2 linked regions of the Tribolium castaneum genome follow. The protein of the gene in region 1 binds, or shares a complex with, the protein of each later gene. Links are inferred from orthologs where the notes say so. Each region holds a gene or a part of one and is shown in the gene's direction. Other genes may lie near its edges.

Region 1 (4,504 bases):
TTTAACAATTGTTGCCTGAAAATGATAAAATTTTTCCGATTGTATTTTTGTTACTACAATGAATTTATCAGTAAAATAGATTTTTTTGACGAAAAAAAAATAAGTAAAATAAAAATAGAAATTTTTAAAACTTCTTTCCTTAAGACAATAAAATTTTTAAGTGTGATTTTATTACTACAATTAATTTATTAGTAAGACTTATCTTTTTTGATCCTAAAAATAAAAAAGAAAGAATAAAAATAAAGAATTCTTAACAGTTTTTATATCTTATATAATTATACTTTTTTAAGCTTAGTTTTTGTTCCAATTGATCGTCTTTTTTAGATACCGAAAATTAAAAAGAAAATCAAAATAAAAAATTAAATAAGAATTTTTAACAATTATTGCCAAAAAAAAATAATTTTAACGTTCGTTTTTTATAACCACAATTAGTTATCTGTAAGACAGCAAAATTAAAACAAAAGTAAAAAATAATTATGTGGAATTTTTTACAATTTTTAAGCTGGGCTTTTGTTACTTCAATTAATTTATTAGTATATTTAATATAACTGTTTTTTTTGGCTCCGAGAATTAAAAAAATAAAAATAAGGAATCTTTGACATTTCTTACCTAAGGATGGTTAAATTTTAAAGCTCGGTTTTTATTTACTATTTAATTTATCGGTATGATTTATTTGTTGCCTTATTTGACTATACTTATTTGAATAAATTTGTACAAGTTTTATAGACGCCAATTTGTTGTAATTTTAGCAAAACTTTTTATACATAAACCTAATAATAACAGCTAAATTTAATTGTTTTACCTTCAATTACTAAGAAAATCATTTATTTATTGTCATATAAGGATAAAATTACAAACAAATAGTGTCAATGATGTTTTGTGAAAAACTTAAAAGAAATAAAAGAACAAATTCTCCGAAAGAAAGCGAAACACTAAAATTGTTTAAAAACTTGAAACTTTTAATAGAGTTTTTTACCTTTTTTGGATCCAATATAGCATCAATTTGTTTATCCTTTTTAATAATTTCATTCTGCAATTTGCGTATTTTCACCTTTAGCATACGATTTTCGGTGCTAATGTTGGATAAATTTTTCTTCAGATGAAAAATTTCAGTCCGCAAATCTCCATCATCTTGTAACTAATAATACAAAGTATAAATAAACTAAAGTATAAATATTTTATTACCTCATTTCGAAACATTGTAGCCGAAGACGAAGTTACGTTTGTTTTGTTTGTAATTTAAGTATTGATCAAACAAATTTTACAATGTAATTAGCAACGGATTGCAGCAAACACAAACATAAATATAGCCGGGTTAAAAATATTATATAATTAAAACTATTGTATCTATTTTCTACTATTTCTTACTTTCTTTAATCAATGTTGTTAAATTTTAAACAAATTTAAATTTACCGCTTTATGTCAAAAGCTGCGCAGGCGCAATTATGTTTCTTTGACATTTGACAGCAGCGTGTGACAGCTGATCGGTTGTTGTGTTTAAAAAGTGCTTCAAAAACAACAAATTAACTAATAAAAACTAAAAAAATGGTTATTGAAAAAAATCCTTTCCCTGGCAATGCCTTGGAACAATTTGTTTTATTGTCAAAGTCAACAAAAGGGGCTGCTTGTTCCGAACTGATCAAGCAAGTGTTGGAAGCCCCCGGTGTTTACGTTTTTGGTGAATTACTTCACATGCAAAACATTGAAGAGGTAATCAAACATATTTTTACATTTATACATTAACTAAGTGTTTTGTAGTTGAGTAATACACCACAGAAAAATTTCTACAACACTCTCAACTTGTTTGCTTACGGAACCTACAAGGATTATCTAGCAAATAAGAAGGATTTAATTGAATTAAGCCCAGCTCAGAAGAAAAAGCTTCAACATTTAACCATTGTTACGTTGGCCACCAAATCAAAGGTAGTTAAAGTAATTCCACTTTAGTGAAATTAAGTTTTTAATATGGATAACTATAGATTAGGAAACGACACGACCTACAAATAAAAAGTCCTCGTTCTCGATAGTTTCGATAGTGTTGTGTAGATGGCGGAGCACATTATTGTATTAAAATTTATCAATGGTTTTAATAGCAGTTAGCACATGGTATCCAAAAAAAGCATGTTAATGCAGCTTTTGGCTATCATTTTTTATTAAAAAAAATACAAGTTATTGCAATTTGCGAATGTTTCGGCATAAAAATGTCATCAGCTCTTAATGATTTTGTTTAATCTAGTTTGTTTAAAAACAAAAAAATTGTTGGCGTTCTTTCCAAAGCACTCTTTGTAAAAATGCTTTTTTCTCCATTTTGATGAGCATTTAAGATTCGATTATATCATGTGATACATAGATGTAATCGGAAATGAAAACACTTCAAAAATACAAAAAGCAAATATGGCTTCCATAAGAAAAAACAAAATTTAGTGTTGTAACACTGACATCAAGAACGCCTTGGAAAATGGGACGACAGATTTAGATTTCTTGTAAAAATGTACCTAAAGAACGTTCTAGTTAAAAACGTCTAGTTCTTTTGGTTTTCACTCGAAAAAAATTAAAACCCAAATTTTAACCACCTCGTATCTCGTATAATAACTGAGATTCCCATGGTGGAGCTGAAAAAACGGCCACCCAGTACATTGTTTTGACTACTATAACAATCTAAAGATAATCGAGTATATTCCTAAAATTCATAAAAGGGACATAAATTTGTACCATGTTACATGTTCAAGTTAACAAAAAAAACAAATATAAAAAAATTAAAAAAAGATTTTTTAACCATTTTTGCCTAGCGATAATCAAACTTTTCTGCTCGGTTTTTGTTACTACAATGAATTTATCAGTATCTAATACGAGTGATTTTTTTGAAAGTGAAAACAAAAAAATTAAAAACATTTTAAGCTTCTTTTTGATCCAAAAACTAGAAATTTTTACCGTACTTTATAATAAATCTTCTAAAAAGTCTGCAATTTTTTTTTATTTTTTGTCAAAAATAATTAAACTATCGACAAATTTACGTCATTTTCAAGCATTTTTGCACAAAAACTATTCAGTTCAAAATTGTACTATTTTTTAACTTTGTAAAAAAGTTGCATTGCATTTTTCTCTACAACTTTTTTTTAATAGAACGACTCTATTTTCTTAACGGCAATGGAAAGAATATCGATATTTATGGTGACTTTTATCAATACGTCCTATACCAATCTCTTACAGTTTTTGAAAAAAATCACAAAAAACGGATTTTACTTGGTAGTTTTCATAGTTAATCAAGTATACCTTGCAAAATGGTCAACAATTATCAAACTTCAATTTTTTATTTAGTTTTTAGCTGTTTCATTATCGAATAATCAGTAAAATAATCACATTTAATTATAGTTTATTATAAGTTAGTGAATTATGTAAAGTAACTCAGTCAGTTTGCCATTGATCCTTGAACTTCTTGAATGAAAATGGTAAATAAATAGGACATTTCTTTTTGTTAACAGTACAATTTTATCGTATTTTTCAAAAGTTTACTTGATTAAAAATGAAAATAATGAGCTAAAATTCTGTTTTTTGCGATTATTTCAAATACTGTAAGAAATAGATATATAGAAGATGTTATTAAAAGTATGCATAAAAATTGATGTTCTTTTGATTGCTATTTAAAAAACTGGGTAATTCCATTTGAAAAACTGTTTTATAATCATTTTTTAATCATCATTTTCAACAAATCATACCTCTAGCTATGTTAGAAGTTAAAGTTTCTAATGTAGGCTCTAAAAGAATCAGCCTATCTACTAATTTAACAAAATTTGATTGATTTTTCTTAGAGCAAGTAATAATAAAAACAATGTTTTTTTAGTGTATTCCGTACAACACCCTTCTGGAAGAGCTAGGCATAACAAATGTTCGTGATTTGGAGGACTTAATAATTGAGGCGATTTACGCTGACATTATTCATGGAAAATTGGACCAGAAAAATAGTCAATTGGAGGTTGATTATGCCATAGGTCGTGATATTCGTCCTGAAGACATTAATGTAATTGTGAATTGTCTCCAAGACTGGTGTTCGGCCTGTGAAGGTGTTTTGGCTTGTGTTGAAACACAAATACATAGAGCAAATAATGAAAAAAATAAATCAATGTTGAGAAAAGCTGAAGTGGAGCAAGAGGTATTTTTTTCGAGTTTGTATCATTACTTTGTTTTAGATATGCATTTTTTTTGTAGATTAGTAACATTAAAAAGACTCTGAAAACTCAATTACAAGAACGCTCTGATGGAACTGACGAGGCTATGGCTACTGATAACAGGGAAGCTGCAGCAATTAGCGAAAAAGGAAAAAAGTCAACTAAAATCAAAGGTATAAGGCATAGCAGTAAGTTTTGGCTTAAATCTTAATAATTTTTTTCTAATATATTAACATGTAACAATTTTAATGAGATCGTAAGTGTTATTTAATTATTGTTTGTACCTTTGGTACAAAATAAAATCTCTGTGAAATTCTAGCAGTTTAATATAGATAACC
Region 2 (2,883 bases), on another chromosome or scaffold:
AATCCATATCGGGAAAAACCGCAAAATCTCGGGAAGAAGCGAGTGAAAATGTGGCGCTAGATGCCTTAAACATGCTAAAAAATGTAAGATTTTTACGTAAAAATAATAAAACTAAAAGTATGTTCCTAGAAGAGTTCTAAGCCAGCAAAAACGGGCCTTCCGTCCGAATTTCCCGTGCCCCCAACCAAGTGGGTCCAAGACCGCCAACAACAAAACAAAATGCCATCCCAAGTTTTTGTGAATAAGTCGTACCAGGTACCACTCTAAATCGTCAAAGAAACGCCGAAATCTTTTATTTTAAGTTCAAACAGGGTGGACATAGTCAGCATCAGAGAATGCCGCCCCCGCACCAAACGGACTACAGTAGAAGGGACCCCGAGTCTAATTTTAGTCGAAATCCGCACACGAGTGCGAAAGCACACAATTTCGTGCCGCTTCAAGCGTTAAAAAAGAAGCAAACTCATGGGAATAAGAATCTTAACACTGGGAATAAGAATGTTAATGAAAATTCACCGCGGAAAAAACAAGAAAAAACTGATGTTTCAAGTAACAGCCAAAACGCTGGAATCTCGAAGGTGAAACTTGCAATGGGGATAATTTAAGTTGACTGACTTGTTACAGGCATGTGAGTTGGAGCGAAATGACCGGCGGGATAAATCAGCAAAGCAGAGGAAAACTAGAATTGCAGCTAGATTCAATCAGTAATTTTAAGAACTAATGGACTGAATTAAAATACATTTTGTTCCGTCTTAATTTCCTCCACTTTAGGTTGATTGAACTATTCCTTTTTAAAGAAATATTTATGGACAAAACTTGAACAAAACATGTGGTTTTTGAGTGTATATACGCTTTCATGCTGTAAATATACACATCCTTCTTTGCCTGTGGACTTTCATTACCTTTGTGCTGCTGATACCAAGCAAAAATGTGGTCAAAAATTTAACGAACACATTGATAGATTGCTATTTTAATTAATATATTTGAATTTTAACTTTTTTAATTTTTTGTCCATATAAAGGGCGGTTTACATTGACCGGTTATCATCATGGAATGAAACGACAGTGGGTGGTGTTTGATATTTTATAAATTCATAAAACACAAACTCGGGCTTTATTATTCAAATTAATTCGATGAAAACGTGATTACCTAATTAGGCATTAGATCTTTTGTGAATTTTTTGAAATTAAAAAAAATGGCGACGTTTTTCGCGGGCGTCGGCAGCGTTCGTGCATTTCCGGCGCAGTCGGGTTTTGGTCAGTTGGTTGTTCGCACTCGTAAATAAAAAATGTGTATGATTTTAAAACGAGACATTTGTTAAAACCAAATTATAAAGAACTCCTCACAAAATGGTTTCTAGTAACATTGAAAAATTAGCAGAAGACTTAGAGAAGCAAGAGTTAGAAGTAAGAGTCATCATCGAGAGATATAACCTCAAACTTCCAATTTTTTACAAATTTGGCGTTTTTTCAGGCACAGAACGGTATAGCATCACCTCAAGTTTACGAACAACTCCTAGCTATATATTTATACGAAAACGACTTGTAAGTATCGCCGGTTTTGGTTCGGTATTGCCGCTAAGGCTAGTTGTAGATGCAATGCAAAATATTTATGGAAACGCATCCCGGCTTCGGTGAAGTCGTCCACTCCTGAGCTAAACAACATCTGGGCCGTGGCCCAGCATATGTGGAAGAGGGACTTCCCGGGGATTTACAAGGCTCTGAACGCGGTAACATGGTCCGACGGTGTGGCGAATATTATGAAACAAGTTCAAGGTTTCTTGCTAATTGGATCACTCTAAACACCACTAATGATTGCGTTTTACAGACAGAGTGAGAAATAGATCAGTAGATTTAATAGCACAAGCGTATTCTTCAATAACATTAGACACTGTTTCTGCAATGACGGGCTTGCCCCCAGACATTTGTGCAACGGCTTGTGTGGAGAGGGGCTGGCAAGTGGAAGCCGACACTAGGATGGTTCACCCCGTTAGACCAACCCCACAAACTTCTGGCCAGACAAGTAGTGAAGATCAATTGTATAAACTGACAGATTTTGTATCATTTCTCGAAAATTGAATTGTATTTTTGTTTTTATAAGTTAATTGTAAGCTAATATAAATATTTCAGTAAATTCCTTCTCATTTAATTGACACAATGCAGAACCACTTGGTGTAATGCCAAACAATTTCCTAAAATAACGGGTGACACCTTCAGATATAAAATAATCCACAGGCGTCGCCCTACACGCAGTCAGTTTTCACACGCGACTAAATGGCTCCAGCTTCACCATGGGGGCCTCAATCGAGCGAAACGAAATGAACAAAATTCATAAAAACCGCCAAATAGCCTGTCAATTTGACAACTCGCCTGGGATTTGAGGTTAAAAACGCTTGACGTTTGTGTCATTGGGTGGCCAAAATTTATTTTTTATTTTATTTTCCAATTTAACGCAAAAATGGTAAAGCATTCGGTCGTCCAAAGGCACTGCTAATCGATTCCTTTCCAGCATGGAAGGATCAAAGTTCGCACTAGCGAAGAACAGAAGCTGCAAAAGCAGAAAGAGCAGCAGAAGAAACTGGTAGCTTATCGCATGGGAATGAAGCAGATCTTGTCGACGAGAAATAAGGAGAATTATGATCCGGCGTCGTTGCTTTTAAGTGGCCAGCTCTTGAGTGTGAATCCCGACATTTACACTTTGTGGAATTACCGTAAAGAAGCAACTTTAATGGAACTGAAGGAGAAGTAACTAATTTCAAGTCTTAAATTCTGTTTTTCACAATTTAACAGTCACTCAGATGCGGAGAATGGTGATGAGAAATCGATTGAGTTTTGCGAGAATGAGTTGAGATTGACTGAACAGTGCCTTCTTTCAAATCCCAAGTCT

The links.
Region 2: CSN7 (region 1) and CSN8 share a complex: the UniProt entries of both Drosophila melanogaster proteins name them as parts of the CSN complex. The link is inferred for Tribolium castaneum from reciprocal best matches to the Drosophila melanogaster genes CSN7 and CSN8.

What each region holds. Positions count from the first base shown.
Region 1 is NC_087395.1:497,583-502,086, forward strand, and holds CSN7 (COP9 signalosome complex subunit 7b), read left to right. Parts: upstream 1-1,448; 5' UTR 1,449-1,545; coding exon 1,546-1,710; intron 1,711-1,758; coding exon 1,759-1,923; intron 1,924-3,841; coding exon 3,842-4,150; intron 4,151-4,206; coding exon 4,207-4,377; 3' UTR 4,378-4,484; downstream 4,485-4,504. Other genes in the region: IQ domain-containing protein E-like, read right to left, coding at 977-1,138, 1,186-1,200. UniProt on the Drosophila melanogaster protein: Component of the COP9 signalosome complex (CSN), a complex involved in various cellular and developmental processes.
Region 2 is NC_087398.1:6,313,591-6,316,473, forward strand, and holds CSN8 (COP9 signalosome complex subunit 8), read left to right. Parts: upstream 1-1,219; 5' UTR 1,220-1,346; coding exon 1,347-1,403; intron 1,404-1,470; coding exon 1,471-1,541; intron 1,542-1,590; coding exon 1,591-1,772; intron 1,773-1,824; coding exon 1,825-2,075; 3' UTR 2,076-2,130; downstream 2,131-2,883. Other genes in the region: pcm (5'-3' exoribonuclease 1), read left to right, coding at 1-83, 130-255, 303-575, 622-705; RabGGTa (geranylgeranyl transferase type-2 subunit alpha), read left to right, coding at 2,455-2,457, 2,506-2,741, 2,787-2,883. UniProt on the Drosophila melanogaster protein: Probable component of the COP9 signalosome complex (CSN), a complex involved in various cellular and developmental processes.